Linked DNA regions of Ovis aries. The protein of the gene in region 1 interacts with the protein of each later gene in a pairwise test. Links are inferred from orthologs where the notes say so. Each region holds a gene or a part of one and is shown on either strand. Other genes may lie near its edges.

Region 1 (3,594 bases):
TTACCAGTGGGCCTTCTGCGATGTTGCAGACAACGTGGGCAGCTCTGACTGTACCTTGGATCATTCAGGAACCCCTGCTGGGCAGCTCTGACTGTACCTCGATCATTCAGGAACCCCTGCTGCAGGCCCTGGGTTCAGTGTTTGGGCAGAGAGTGGGGTGGCATGTGAACAGGGCGCAAAGTTCAGGTGGAAGAACTGAGCTCTCTGACCGCGGGCATCACTGTAGCAGGCAGGGTGGAGGACCCCTCGCGGTCCCCAAACCCTGGTGTGGAGGGACCATGTCTGGACAGGGAAGGTAAGATGAAGAAGGTGCTCCTCCCAGGGTGGTTCTGCTCTCAACCTTCCCCGTGGATTTCTGGCAGTGTCTAGAAACAGTTTTGTTTGTGACAATGGGGGTCGGGTCGGGGCACTGGCCGACAGGTCCTTACAGGCTAGCGGCTGCATTTCTGTGACCTGTGACAAGTCCTTTAGAGAAAAGGAGGGGCCTCACCTAGAGCCAGGCTGGAGCCTAGGGGTGGGAGGTGCCATTTCCATAGTGCAGGCTCGGCAGACCCTGCAAACCCTGCAAACCCTGCAGAGGCCAGTCAGATCTGGCTTTGGTGAATCCTGCTGGAACTGGTTTGGGTTCTCTAAGCCCTGTCCTGGTCCTTGTCTGGGTGAGCCCTCGGGTTTTGTAACTACGCATCTCCACGAGTAGCTTGGAGAGAGACCCTTTGCCCAAACACTGGAACTCCCCACTTCATCCAACCCACAGACCAGATAGATGATTGACCAGTGAAAGGTCACCAAAGGATTTGTTTAAGTAGTGGCCCCTTGGGCCACTTGAAATGAAATTTGATTTACCAAGTAAGGACTTCCCACGGGTGGTGTGTTGAGCCATCCTGCTCTGTAAGTGGCCAGTGGAACTCCTGCCCCTTCTCCAGGCATCACACGGCACATTATGTTTAAAAGAAGAAAAAAATAAAAGCAAACACACAGAGCCTGCCTCTCAGCCAGATAGCATATGTAATAAATTATTTGCGTGTCCTTAATCCTTAAACATCGCCAGGGGCCTTCCTTGCCTTTTCCTGGGCTCAGGAACATGAAGTCATTGCCAGGGTCACAGCTAATGGGTCCAACGGAGAACCTGGTTCAAGCCTGAGGCAGCGGATCCAAGCTTTGGTCCACTGCAGTGGCAGACGGCCTCTCCACCTGGGTTGCATCACCCTGGTGGCAGTTCCAGGCGCCTAGCCTGGAGCGCAGCCTGGCTCTGCTGTGGAAAGTTGGTGCGATGGGGGAGTGAGTCGGGAAGCTGTGGATGTGCAGGCCGTGTACCAGATGGGAGGGCTGGCGCGGCCTTGTTCTCAGCTCCACGTGGATGCAGGTAGCTGTAGCTCCTGGGCCTGGCAGCGTGTCTGCAGCTCCTGGAAGGGGCTGCCCAGGGCGGAAGCTCACTCCCTCCTCCGCCTCTCACCCTTTCCTCTAGTTCCCTGACATTGTGGAGTTCTGCGAGAACATGGCCAACTCAGGGAAGACCGTCATCGTGGCTGCACTGGATGGGACCTTTCAGAGGAAGGTGAAGTGTCTGGTCCAGGTCTTGGGGTGGGACCGGGGACAGAGGCCCAGGCAGCGCACAGAAATGGACAGCCCAGGGCGCCCTTGATGCCCACACCATGCCTAAGCCCAGGCACTCAGGCCAGCCAGTCCCAGCTCCCTGGGGTGCCCCTGACTCCACCTGCCTAGGGCAGGTGCTCTGGGGAAAGGCAAGGTCCAGGCTTAGTTTCCTGGCTTCAGGGGTGTGAGTCAGGGTCTCCAGGAAAAGCCCACCCGGCGAAATGAGTGTGCACTCCTCTTTCTGTGGATTGTACAGGCTTTTGGGACCATCCTGAACCTGGTGCCCCTGGCAGAGAGCGTGGTCAAGCTGACGGCGGTGTGCATGGAGTGCTTCCGAGAGGCCGCCTACACCAAGAGGCTGGGCGTGGAAAAGGAGGTAGCTGCCCCCTGCCTTCTCCAAGGGATGGGCGGGTGGGGGGCAGGGAGGGGCGCCTACACCTAGAGGCTGGGTATGGAGAAGGAAGTAGCCGCCCCCTGCCTTCTCCCAGAGGCGAGGGGTGGGGCGCTGCGCCCCAGCCCCGCTCAGTCCAGGCGCTTCCTGTCGCACCGCACGTCAGGTCGAGGTCATTGGAGGAGCAGACAAGTACCACTCTGTGTGCCGCCTGTGCTACTTCAAGAAGCCCTCGGGTCAGCCCGCCGTGCTGGACAGCGAAGAAAATAAGGAGAACTGCCCGATGACACTGGGAAAGCCCGCGGAGGCCGCGGGAGTCCGGAAGCTGTTTGCCACTCATCAGATCCGGCAGTGCAGCCAGGCCAACTGAGGCACTGGCCCCTCGCTGGGGCGGGCGCTCACCCGCCACCTGCTCCCCCCACTCGCCCGCTGTCGCCCCCTGGCGGATGCCGGGCCTTCTTGGAGGAGGAAGTGGCGGGGGGCGGGGTTGGGGCGGGTAGAGGTTTCACCACCAGCAGTTGGCCTGCTGCTGCGCCCTTTCCCAGGCCAAGGAGGCGGCTGGTGGTCTGCACTGCACACTTCCCTCCTTGCCTGCCCACCAGCTTTTCTCAGTTCCCATCCCGGCTGCGGGGCGGCTGCGGGGCGATCGCAGTCTCCCCAAGCCGGAGCTGGCCGCCCTATGGGGCGGGGTCTGGCCGCTGCAGCCATCCCTCTTGGGGTGAGGCCAAGCCGCAAGCTGCTGTGACATCGGCGTCGCCGGCTTCTTCCCCGTTTGTGGCGTTTGCTGTTGAGTTTCTGTTCTCACTGGGAAGTCCATATCCCAGCACCTCTGGCTCAGCGTGGGCCTCTTCCCACGCAAAGACTTGGTCCCTCTGCCTGGGATGGGCTCCTGGCTGCCCCTGGGGATGGCTGGACTTCTTATTTCCTTTGGGGCTGAAAGCCCTTCCTGATCTGGCGATCATTTTCTCCGGAATTACAGCTTCTCCCATGTGGGTGACACTCACCCTGCTCTGGGGCTCAGCTCCCAGGGGCTTGTTTTCTAAGGAGGTGGGGGCTGTGTGTATGTGGAACTGATAACTAATATTAAAATCTATTGGTTGGTAAAAGCCTATTTCTCTTTTAACTGTCTGGGATTCCCCGGGTCTCACTATAGACACCTCTGACATGATTCAGGTATGGGGATTTCCTTTCAAATCTTTTTCTAGTACTCCTGACCCCTTAACCACAAATCTTTTTAACTGAGATATGAGCATCAAGTGTTCTAACAGGCATGTTTGCCTGCTCTTCTGCCTGGGAGGGTTTCAGGTCAAGATGAGTGGATGCAGGAGCCTGGGGCTTGGTTGGAAAGATGAAGCCTTGGTCTGTGCTGCCAGCTGGGGCTGTGAGGTCAGGTTTTATTTTGTGAAACAGACACTTGACAGTTCAGGAGCCAGGAAGACCAGCTCTGCCGTGCCTTGGGAAACGGGCTGTGGACAGCTTATGGGAAGGTGAGGGTGCTCCAGGGTGGGGTGGGCCTGGGCTGTGTGTTCCAGATGGGGCCCCAGTTCCCCACCCTTACCCCAGCTTCTCCCTCTCACTGGCTTGTGGCAGGTTACAGAGGTGCAGTACCA
Region 2 (3,941 bases), on another chromosome or scaffold:
ACAGACAGACAGACACACACACACACAGACACACACAGAGACACTGACAGACACACACACAGAGACACAAACACACAGACACAGACACACAGACACACACAGACACACACACAGAGACACAGACAGACACACACACAGACACAGACACAGACACACACACAGACACACAGACACACACACACGCAGACACACAGACACACACAGAGACACTGACAGACACACACACAGAGACACACACACACAGACACAGACACACAGACACACACACACAGAGACACAGACACACACACACAGACACACACAGAGACACTGACAGACACACACACACAGACACAGACACAGACACACAGACACACACAGACACAGACACAGACACACACACAGACACAGACAGACAGACAGACACACACACACGCAGACACACAGACACACACAGAGACACAGACACACAGACACAGACACACAGACACACACAGACACACACACAGAGACACAGACAGACACACACACAGACACACAGACACACACACAGACACACACACACACACAGACACACAGACACACACACAGACACACACACAGACACACACAGACACACAGACAGACACACACACAGACACAGACAGACAGACACAGACACACAGAGACACAGACACACACACACACAACGTCAAGCTCCATAAGGAGGCCGTGGGGACACACACAGGGAATTTTCCACATTAAGCGGCCTTGACAGGACAGCCGGCGCCCGGCGGCGGCTTTTCCTAGTTCCTCCCCAGCTGAGCACCTTCCTAACGTGGGCGGGGGCGAAAGGGCCCCCCCAGCAGCCCCGCACCGAGACGGCCATCCTCAGCCCCGGCCGGGGACCCCCACTCCCCCCGCCCTGCACCCCCTCCCGGCGTTTACAGCCGCCGTGATCCCCACCCCGGGAAGAAAGAGCCGGAGGCCGACGGCCCGGACAGGCCCGGGGACGGGAACGCGCCCCACCGGGCCCCCGCGCGCGCCCGGCCGCCCGCACCTCGCGCCGCGCCCCGGCTCCCCCTCGCGGTGCCGCAGTCCCCGCGCCGCCCCCGCCGTGACGTCACAGGGGCGGGGCCCCCGCCTTAAAAGGCGCGGCCCGGGCGGCGGCGGCGGGGTCTGCGCCGAGTCCGCCGGTCCGCACTCCGTCCAGGCCCGCGCCTCCACCCGCTCCGCAGCCGGCACCATGCGCGAGATCGTGCACATCCAGGCGGGCCAGTGCGGCAACCAGATCGGCGCCAAGGTGGGCGCGGGGCCGAGGGGCGGCGGGGCCCGAGGGCGGGGGCCCTGGAGCGACAGAGAGGGGGCGGCGGGTCCCCAGGCTGTGCTTGGGGCCGGAGAGGGGCCGGGGAGGGAGCTGACCCCCGGGGAGGGGGCGGCGGGGCCGGAGGGCGGGGGTCCCGGAGGGACGGAGAAGGGGCGGCGGGTCCCCAGAGAGAAGACCAAGGAGGGGGCGGGGAGGGGGCCGCGGGGCCCGAAGTCTGGGGTCCCGGGGGGCCGGGGAGGGGGCCGCGGGTGGGAGCCCCGGAGGGACAGAGAGGGGGCGGCGGGTCCCCAGGGTGTGGGACCAGGAGGGGGCGGGGAGGGTCGGCAGGGCCCGAGGGCGGGGACCCTGGAGGGACAGAGAGGGGGCGGCGGGTCCCCTGGGTGCGCGCCGGGGCCGCAGCGGGGCCGGGTAGGGAGCTGACCCCCGGGAGGAGCGCGGGCGCAGGGCGGGGCGGGGCCGGGCGCCTCACAGCCCGCACTGATGCTCAGGGCTGCGCAGCTGTGGGTCTTTAATTACGGCCCCGGCCTAAGCCCTTGTGAGGGACGCGGTTGGTACCTCCCCGGTAGATTAGCCTCTGAGATTTGGGTGGGGGCTTTGGTCGTGAAGATCCCGTGGCCCCCTGCGGAATTCATTTTGCGGATATTGTCTGCAGTGCGAATGAAAAAACTGCAGTGTCATTGGGTGACAGATGCTCCGGAGGGTTCTCGTGGGTCCGACAGACGCGGTGCACCATCCAGACGGGGTGGCGGGTGACGCCAGAGTCTGACTGCCGTGGGCGCGGCGGCAGGTGGCCGCCCCGGGCCGAGCCGCCGCAGTGGGCGAGGCCCCGCGGGCCGGGTGCCCGGGTGTGGGCGGGCGCCCGCACAAGGACGTGGTCTCTTTCACAACCGCCATATTGCCCACCCGCCCCCTGCCTTTCCTACTGCAGACGCACGCTGCACCCTGCCCCTCACCCCCCCATTCCGCCTCTGCAGTCAGTGACCCAGGAGCCCGGCGGATGCCCGCGCCTAACGCGGCGCTGCTTGGAGGGCCGGTCAGGTTTGCGCCAGGACACGGCGATCTCTGCAGGCAGCCGCAGGGCGGGGTCCACCTGTCCTGGGTCCTGCCAGGACCCGTCCATCCGCTGGGATGCTGACGCCCAGCCCTGCCTGGGGGCCCAGCCTCCAGAGCATCCGCAGCCGTGCCCCCCTCCTCCTCCAGGGCCCCTCCCTGCTTCCCAGTCTATCTCCCTGACATAGCTGATGCTCTGCGCATCCCCGAGCCCCTCCGCAGAAGCTTGCTGGAGGAACAGGGCGGCAGCTGCTGGCCTGTCTGACCACAGTGCCACTGTTCCAAGGACGGGAGAGGAAGGGAAGGGCCGTCGTGCTGACACCTAGGATGCCAGACCATCACGTGCTTCTTTCTCCATCTCCAGTTTTGGGAAGTCATCAGCGATGAGCATGGCATCGACCCCACTGGCAGTTACCATGGAGACAGTGACTTGCAGCTGGAGAGAATCAACGTGTACTACAACGAGGCTGCTGGTGAGGACTGCCGCAGGCTCAGGCCCCTCTCCCGTTCCGCTCTCTGGCAGCCCCAGTGTAGCAGGAACACACACACAACAAAGGCTTCCTGCGTGCATTTAAATGTCAGCTGCTCAGAACACCCTCAGAGCCCCTGAAGTCCCCTGCATTCGGGTCATGACCGGGCAGGCCCTCACCTCCCTTTGTAGAGCAGAAACCTCCTCTAATCTCTTGCTGGAATTTTCTGGGATGAGCTCTGCCTGGAGAGGCACAGAGAGCAAGGCGTTGCCTGACTGCTCTGCAAGCGCCAGGTCTGAGTCCTGCTCTGTCCCTGCAGGTAACAAGTATGTGCCTCGGGCCATCCTGGTGGACCTGGAGCCGGGCACCATGGACTCCGTCAGGTCTGGACCCTTCGGCCAGATCTTCAGGCCCGACAACTTCGTGTTTGGTATGTAGGGGTGATGTGTGGGCCCTGGCTCAGTGGGCCCCTTTCCTCCTGATGCCATGGGGGTCACTGCTGGGTGCCTGGGGGAGGCTGTGTGTCCACAGAGGCCCCGAGTCCCAGCCTCACTGTTCCTGGTCCATGGGCTGTCAGCTCTCTGGCCCCTGTCCACACAGCTCAAAGGCCAGGGTCAGCCTGCAGAGGCTGCTGCAGCCCTCCCACTGCAGAACAGAACAGAGTGAAGGGAAGCTTCCAGCGGCAGTTCACAGGCCGCCGGTCATTTCGGAGGACCCGTGACAACAGGCATCCTCTTCAAGAAGCCAAAGCCAAAGGCGCAGGTTGTGAGCAGAAGCTGAGCCGGCCCTCTGACACTGGGTGCTTCCACCCTGCCAGCTCACAGCAGTTGATTTATCAATAAGAATTTACAGAAGGTTCTAGTTTTAAACCAGTTGGGTTTTGTTAAACTATCTTCTTAATTAATAACATCTTATGAACTAAATCTTTTGTTGTATTAGATCTTCAGTGTTTCTGAGATCACTGATACATAGAAAACTTTTCTGTAGGTAGACAGTCTTTCTGATAAAGAAGGATCTTTCATCTCTAAAGTTAGTTCAGAGCCAGGAAGACAGAGTTTGGAATTCCTTACTGAAGTGTTGGCGTCTGATACTGTCCTTTCCCTCTGGCAGGCCAGAGCGGTGCCGGGAACAACTGG

The links.
Region 2: the proteins of TK1 (region 1) and tubulin beta-2A chain interact in a two-hybrid assay, tested with the Homo sapiens proteins (2 studies listed by BioGRID and IntAct). The link is inferred for Ovis aries from reciprocal best matches to the Homo sapiens genes TK1 and TUBB2A.

The regions. Positions count from the first base shown.
Region 1 is NC_056064.1:53,319,798-53,323,391, forward strand, and holds the end of TK1 (thymidine kinase, cytosolic), read left to right. Parts: intron 1-1,465; coding exon 1,466-1,555; intron 1,556-1,849; coding exon 1,850-1,969; intron 1,970-2,150; coding exon 2,151-2,354; 3' UTR 2,355-3,090; downstream 3,091-3,594. UniProt on the Homo sapiens protein: Cell-cycle-regulated enzyme of importance in nucleotide metabolism. Catalyzes the first enzymatic step in the salvage pathway converting thymidine into thymidine monophosphate.
Region 2 is NC_056073.1:49,644,188-49,648,128, forward strand, and holds the start of tubulin beta-2A chain, read left to right. Parts: upstream 1-1,132; 5' UTR 1,133-1,204; coding exon 1,205-1,261; intron 1,262-2,699; coding exon 2,700-2,808; intron 2,809-3,124; coding exon 3,125-3,235; intron 3,236-3,915; coding exon 3,916-3,941. UniProt on the Homo sapiens protein: Tubulin is the major constituent of microtubules, a cylinder consisting of laterally associated linear protofilaments composed of alpha- and beta-tubulin heterodimers.